Linked DNA regions of Callithrix jacchus. The protein of the gene in region 1 interacts with the protein of each later gene in a biochemical or structural test. Links are inferred from orthologs where the notes say so. Each region holds a gene or a part of one and is shown in the gene's direction. Other genes may lie near its edges.

The links.
Region 2: of the proteins of FBXL17 (region 1) and SUFU, one has a biochemical effect on the other in vitro, tested with the Homo sapiens proteins (2 studies listed by BioGRID, with this or other methods). The link is inferred for Callithrix jacchus from reciprocal best matches to the Homo sapiens genes FBXL17 and SUFU.

Annotation. Positions count from the first base shown.
Region 1 is NC_133503.1:102,275,546-102,279,345, forward strand, and holds the end of FBXL17 (F-box/LRR-repeat protein 17), read left to right. Parts: intron 1-480; coding exon 481-621; 3' UTR 622-3,282; downstream 3,283-3,800. UniProt on the Homo sapiens protein: Substrate-recognition component of the SCF(FBXL17) E3 ubiquitin ligase complex, a key component of a quality control pathway required to ensure functional dimerization of BTB domain-containing proteins (dimerization quality control, DQC).
Region 2 is NC_133513.1:95,584,758-95,588,576, forward strand, and holds part of SUFU (suppressor of fused homolog), read left to right. Parts: intron 1-915; coding exon 916-1,072; intron 1,073-3,483; coding exon 3,484-3,595; intron 3,596-3,819. UniProt on the Homo sapiens protein: Negative regulator in the hedgehog/smoothened signaling pathway. Down-regulates GLI1-mediated transactivation of target genes. Down-regulates GLI2-mediated transactivation of target genes. Part of a corepressor complex that acts on DNA-bound GLI1.

The DNA of each region.
Region 1 (3,800 bases):
GCCGTACCTTAACATTTAAAGGGAAGAAAAATAACATCTTCCCCAACACTCTGTCTAGAATCCTGTGTATCCTCTCCTACATTCCACAGCTTTTGTCCTCAAAAGTCTGTTGGGTTGATGATGAAATCCAATGCAAAGCAGAAAGCTGTCTTACTGCTTCTTTCCCTCCCAAGCACTAGATTTTCAATTGACATTGTTAAGATCTTGACAAATCAGTCATTTATGCCTCTAGAGAACACTTTTGATATCTTGGTATTATGTATTTTAAAAATCCCTAAGGGCAAGTGTTTTACCGGAAGATCAGAGAGGTCAGATGAAAGGAGACACGTACCTTCTCACAAAACCCTCCTTCACATCACTAGGAGGAACAAGGCGAGGGCTCCTCATGCCACAGTGAGCTGGCTGCAGCACACCAGTGAGCGTGGGCAGCGGGTGGTGTTGGTAGTCCCTGTGTGTGATATGGCTCTTCTTTGTTTGCAGGTCAATGAAGTGACAGTGGAACAGCTGGTGCAACAGTATCCCCACATCACCTTCAGCACTGTCCTGCAAGACTGCAAGAGGACCTTGGAGAGAGCCTATCAGATGGGCTGGACCCCCAACATGTCTGCCGCCTCCTCCTAATGCTCCTGCCCCACCTAGTCCACTGGGATCATTCAGCAGAGCAAAGGAGAATTGTACATTTGTGGGGCCGATCTCTCAGAAGGGTTTTAACTGTCACCTGTCTGTGTGCGTTCAAGTATGTGTATTTGTGTCTTGCTGCATACCAAAAGTGCAGTTGTCATTTGTTCCCAAGTGAGCTGGCTTTTTTTTTCTTAGAAATTAAAGATTATGAAAGCCACAAACCTTTTAGTTTTAACTTCAAAGGCTTCTTTCTCTTAAAAAAAAAGGTTTTTAATAGAGTCAAAAAAATGGATGTATTATTTTGAGCTTCTAATTGCTGCCACTTGGAGCTGTCCAAATAAGAAGGCCTTTTTTTATGTGGGATGAATTGTGCACTTCTACTGATGATGACTACAACAGAAGTGATGTTACACATGCAGGCACTTACACTCTCTCACATACTCACATATGTGTGTACATCTGCACCAGGGCGGTGTCTTTCTAGATCATTTCCTAACAGAGAAGGCTTCCCCCAGGCCACTAAGGGAGCATGTTATCCACTGTGGCACTGCCTAACTTCATGTATCCACGGGTGGCCAACTTGCTATCTGTTGGGTGACTTAGGGACTAGAAAGAATAAAGCCTATTGTAAATGTTTTATATGGAGGCAACAATCTGAATTCCCCTGGCCAGCTCACAAAAGTTAATTATTCATTATTCTACAAATGCATTCTGTTGAGCACTAAAAATTTTAGTTGCTTTTATGTTACCATTGCGTTAGCTTTTATTTCCTGGATGGTAACTGGTCAGGATATATTTTAATGACATTTGAAGCTAATCTTAGCATTGTAACCACCAGTGTAATTAATGGTGTGCAGTTACTTTAAAAACTACACATCATTTCATTATTTTCCTAATTTTGGTAATTATTAAAGTCTATTTCTGAGATGTGAGAGGGTAGTCACATTAATAGAAGATTCATGAGTGAGGTATAAGTAGACAATCTTTCTACTGTTGTCGCTTTTTTTGCTTTGCTTTGGGTTTTGGGACAGGATTTTTGGATATATGCATGTTGTCATTTTTGACTAGTTCTCATGCTACTACAGAGATTTATTGCTAGCTAATATATGAGTTAAGAAGGAAAATTAGAAAATCTGTTCATTGAAATTCTGTTTACAGTTGTCAGAAATAAGCATTTCTTTGTTTAATTAAAGATTGCCAGCTTCAGTTAAGACGAGACCTATCAGTAAATGAATATGTGTTTTGATTTAACACATCTTTACAATTAATTCATAATAGGGACTCAGGCTCAAATAACTGTTCCTGTGTGTAGATTTATAATGAGGACATCAGGGAGCCTTTTTAAGCTAAAGAGTGATTATCTTTCACAGTAGAAGTAGAAACTAAACCCTGACTTGTGAATTTGCTATTTATTCTTCCCTGAGTGAATGTAACTGTTATTTGGTCTTTAACAGATATACTGAGGTTTGAGTTTCACTTTCTTTAAGTCCCACATTGCTAACATGACATTAGCTGTTAAAAAAAAACAAAAGATAGCTTTATATTTGAATGCCATTTACTGATTTCCAATGATTCTCTTTTTTTTTGTAATCAACTGTTTCCTTTGATTATGTCAACATGTTTCTGATGTGGCATTTTTGTTTTAATCCCAATCAGTTAGAAAAATCTAGTCAGTAAGCACCATGAGTATTTTTCCCACAACTAAATGGGTTTCTAATTTAATTTGAAGGAAATAAAATCTGTGTAAGAACAAAACTGTTTAACATGAATAAACTATATTTCTTCTTACACGTTGAACTATATCATTTTCATATTCACTTCCCCACCACTGAAATCTCTTATTTCACAGTATTTTAACTGATTTTTAATCCAAAACTAATTTATAAGACAGTATGTATAGTAATAGTAGCTTGAGTGAATATGCAAAAGTTTAATTTTTATATATGTCTTACTATATTTTAAATAGTTAAAAAGACAAAAGAAGGGAGAGCCATCTATGATATAGATGGTACCATTTCAGTTCAAAGTTGTAATAATCTTTGGAGTGTTACAGTTTGATTGTCAAATGGTTTCAGAGTGTATAATTGATTTTTTAAAATGTTGCATTGTTTGAATCTGAAGTACAGCACTATAACATGCTTTAGCTTGGGGGGTGGGGGTGGGGTGGGGACTTGCACTTATTCTCTAAAATGTTGACTAATCCAGAAAGCCTGATGCAACATAATCTGGGAAACTGCTTTGGTACATTTGTAGAAATCCATAGAAATACCATATCCAGCCTCAAAACATTAATCTCAAAAAAAACAGCCAGAAAAAAAGCATCACCTTGAGTGATCCTGTGATGGTTGTTGAATGTGTTCTCATTAGATGCTTTGAAATGAGGCTTAAAATAATTTTTCTGGGCAATATAGAGTTTCTTTTTTTTGCTTAGAATGTCGTAAATACATGTGAACACGTTTAATGCAGGGCTTTTTATTCTCTCCAAAATGTCAACAGTATTTTCAGAATAAAGACTATGAAATATATTGCTGTAATGGAAAATTCTGGTCCTTTGTCTTTAATGTCTTTTTGAGTGAATAAAGAAAATTCACCCAGTTTGTAGTTTCTATATTTCTGTGAATCTTTGACCTTGCAATGGGTTGCAATAAAAGAGAAACAGAACACTGTGTCTTTTGTTTTATTTCGGAGACAGTAAATGACCTCCCTAATGCTGGTGGGGTATGATGCATGCAGTGGTCTGTGTTTTTGTATGTTTCATTATAGAATTTTGTAGGTTTGACTAACCCAGAAATAATAAATGAGACTTGAGTTTTCGAGTTTCTAATTGGGGTGGTGACTATACAGAGAAGATTAAAACCTCAAGGATTTAAATAAGCGTGTATTAGTCTGTTCTCACACTGCTATAAGGACATACCTGAGACTGAGAAAGAGGTTTAATTGACTCACAGTTCAGCAGAGCTGGGGAACCCTCAGGAAACTTAAAAATCATGGAGGGGCCAGGTACGGTGGCTCACTGTAATCCCAGCACTTTGGGAGGCTGAGGCAGGTGGATCACCTCACTCAGGAGTTCAATACCAGCCTGGGCAACATGGCAAAAACTGGTCTCTACTAAACATTCAAAAATTAGCCAGGCATAGTGGCAGGCGCTGTAGTCCCAGCTACATGGGAGGCTGAGACAC
Region 2 (3,819 bases), on another chromosome or scaffold:
CTGACCAACAGGCCAGTGTGGTACCCATGGAGCCGGGAAGCACAGATTCTTGTTGAGGTGCTCAGTCACAGGCTTTACTTGGTCCACATGGGCATAGAGCCTTCCAGATGACTTTTAATTCAAGGCTCAGCATCACAGAACTGATTGACCAGAAAATCCAGGAATGTGTTGAGTACAGCTCTTCTTTGAGGCCATTTGGAGAGTGTTTGGACTCAGCAATACCAAGGCCTGCACAAAGGCAGGGTCTCGGTGTGAAAAGGGCATCTGCAGATAGTCACTCCACCCCAGGCCCCCATTTCAGTCTAAGAAATAGGAAGCAATCTCCATCCACAGTCCTTTGCCTAACAAGGGAACCAATGCAGCTGGGGGAAGTCCAGCCTTCTGCTCTCCGGTGGCTCTTCCTTGTGTGGCCACACCCTCTAGCTGTTAAAGGAGAAACTGCAGGAGCGGCCTCTTCCCTGTGGCAGGCTTCCACCCTGTCTTCTACAGCAGTGACTGGGAGGTTCTGGCTGGAAGATTGGCAGAAGAGGAAGGATCACACCTCTCCTCAGAGGAGTAGGTTTTCTCATGGCCACATCAGCTCTACCAGTCAGTCTGGCGGGACAGGTTTGGGGCTCTGAAACAGGTAGAGGCCATTGTACTGGAAGGTTGATAGTAGAGGAGATGCTTTGCTTGGGATTTGGATTCCTCCTGGCTTCCCCTAATCCCTGGTTCCCCTGGAGGAGTCCAAGAGCTGGCAGAGACTATTATGCATTGATAATCAGGGCAGAACAAGGTCAGAGACCCTGCTCTTCCAGCATCTGTCCTGTGTTCAGCACCATAAGGGCTCAGTAAATACTGAATGGTGGCTGAAAGGATGGTGACCTTGGGCCACCAGTTCTCTGAAAGAACTCTGGCTCTTTGGCTCTTTTCAAGCAGGAGAGAGTTGACAAAGGCATTGAGACAGACGGCTCCAACCTGAGTGGTGTCAGTGCCAAATGTGCCTGGGACGACCTGAGCCGGCCCCCCGAGGATGACGAGGACAGCCGGAGCATCTGCATCGGCACACAGCCCCGGCGGCTCTCTGGCAAAGGTGGGCGCCGTCACCCAGCCTTCTCCCAGCCTTTCTCCTTCCTTTTCCCCAGGCCTGGTTTCCAGGCTCTCTAGGATGGGTCTCTAACAAAAACAACCCATTCAATGGTTTATTTCCTGGCATGATTTAAACAGCAAGTAAAGTCTTCCAGCAGAGTGGAATTAAGGGAGCTTTACTGGCCCATTTCTAGCTGTGTTTCCTGTGTGTATTTCAAATGCATCACCAGCAGGCACCATTGTATTTTAGATTTGCCCCTTGCAATCTGAGGTCATAGAGGTCAGTGGAAGCCTTAGAACAGTTACAGGAAAAGTCCATAGTCCACCCAAGTGCAAGAGAACAAGTGTTGGCCACCCACGGAATTGACACAGGGCCCAGCTCTGGCCTGAAGGACATGCCAGATCCAAGGCTCACTCTGGCCTCGAGCCCTCCCAGGCCTTCGACAAGAGAGGCGTGAGTATGAGGCCAGCTTGCAAATTGCCCCACCTCCTGTCATACAGATACAGGGTTAGGCGATGTGGGCAGGGCCTCTGCACTGCGTTCCGGATGGGGTCTTGGGGAAGGAGGATGTGGCTGTCCTGTTGGAATCTCCCTATGCTGACCTTGGCTACAGAAACAGTTGTGGTTTTTAGCAGAGGACGTCCCCAAATAACTGCAAAGGAAAAGCAGCCACTTACATATACATGTGTTGACAGCTTCTTTGTCTACTTCCTTTCTTCATTCTTCCATCTTTTTTTTTTTTTTTTTTTCCTCGAGACGGAGTTTCGCTCTTGTTACCCAGGCTGGAGTGCAATGGCGCGATCTTGTCTCACCGCAACCTCCGCCTCCTGGGTTCAAGCAATTCTCCTGCCTCAGCCTCCCGAGTAGCTGGGACTACAGACACGCGCCACCATGCCCAGCTAATTTTTGTATTTTTAGTGGAGACAGGGTTTCACCTTGTTGACCAGGATGGTCTCGATCTTTTGACCTTGTGATCCACCCGCCTCGGCCTCCCAAAGTGCTGGGATTACAGGCGTAAGCCACTGCGCCTGGCCCCATCTTTTATTTTTTGAAGAATGTCTACAGCCCTAAATAAAATAAACATATGATAATACTTATAAAAGGTTTTTGTTCATTCTGTAAAGAACAAACTTAAACCCCTAGTTCAAATATTTGAGCCCTTTTTTTTTTCTTTTTTTCTTTGAGACGGGTCTCTGTTGCTCAGGCTGGAGTACAGTGGCTTGACCTTGGCTCACTGCAACCTCCACTTCACAGGCTGAAGCAATTCTCCAGCCTCAGTGTCCCAAGTAGCTGGGACTACAGATATACGCCACCGACGCCCGGTTAATGTTTGTATTTTTTGTAGAGTTGGGGTTTTGCCATGTTGCCCAGGCTGGTCTTAAACTCCTGAGCTCAAAACAATCCACCTGCCTTAGCCTCCCAAAATGCTAGGGTTACAGATGTGAGCCACCACACCCGGCCGAGCCCTTTCTTTCCTTCCTGTTTGTTCTAATGGTATGCCAAGCCTATTGGAGGCTTAAAGAGAGGGTATACAGTTATTAGAATCATTTGGTTGCTTTTGACCAAAGAGGTGACTTAAAGAGATAGTCATACTCTTGTCTAAGATTTCAAGCATTATTGGCTTTTTAAAAAAAATTATAGAAGTAATCCATCTCACTGTAACAAGTTAAATACTTAGAAAAGTTAGTAATCATCTCCTTCACAGTCTGAGGCCACTCTTTGAGCAACTAATTTTAATTTGCTTTTTTGTATGTGTTTACAATTTGCAGAGATAAATCTTAGATCCAAATCTCAGTATAGGGGACCAGAGTAGTAAGCTTCACCCCAAAGACCAGCAAAGCACCTTGTGAAGAAATAATCCCACCAAGGGAACTCTTTCACCTCCTGGCCCTTGCCTCTCCATGGAGAGGCAGAGTTTCCTGGGTTAGGCCAAGGTGAGAGATGATCTCAGTATCTCACTGACTTGAGTACAAGGGGAAGGGGTGGCAGGGTCAGATGCTAGTTGACCACCCAGAACCCAGAAAGGTATGTGAGAGGCAGCTTCCCATTCTTGGCAGGGTGCTTGTGGCCTTAACGTGCATCCATTCTCCACACAGAGACTGACCACTGGGGATTGACCATGTTAAAGGTAAACCTCAGGCCTGTGACACAGGAAGGAAAAGGATGGGAGAGACCACCCTTCTGAACTCTAGAATTCTGGCTTCTACAAGAATGGCACTCTTCCAAACCAGAGCTTCTTAAGAACATGCTTGTCCCCTCACAGTCTGTAGTCACTCAGCGCTCACATCTGGATGCATAGAAAGGACCAGCATGGTAGTTTTTCTTAGTACCTCTGCTAAGCCAGGTTTCAAGAGCAGGGTGGGAGTTGCTGGGACCCCACTGGGCCACTGGGCAACTTAGTGGTGTTGTTGCAGACACAGAGCAGATCCGGGAGACCTTGAGGAGAGGACTCGAGATCAACAGCAAACCTGTCCTTCCACCAATCAACCCTCAGCGGCAGAATGGCCTCGCCCACGACCGGGCCCCGTAAGTTCCCCAGTGTCCCAGGGCTGGAACAAGAGGACAGTTTTGTTCTGAAGGGCCTGTCCCTGTGGATTGCATGAGAGAGAACAATGTACATAGCCCTTGCTGGATGGGCCCAGGGTCTCTAGGCTTAAGAGCAGGCATGGTCTGGGGCACACAGATCTATCTGCGGGTCATAAGAGAGGGCCTCAGAGGGGACCCAGCAGACTGTGAACATAAACATCAGT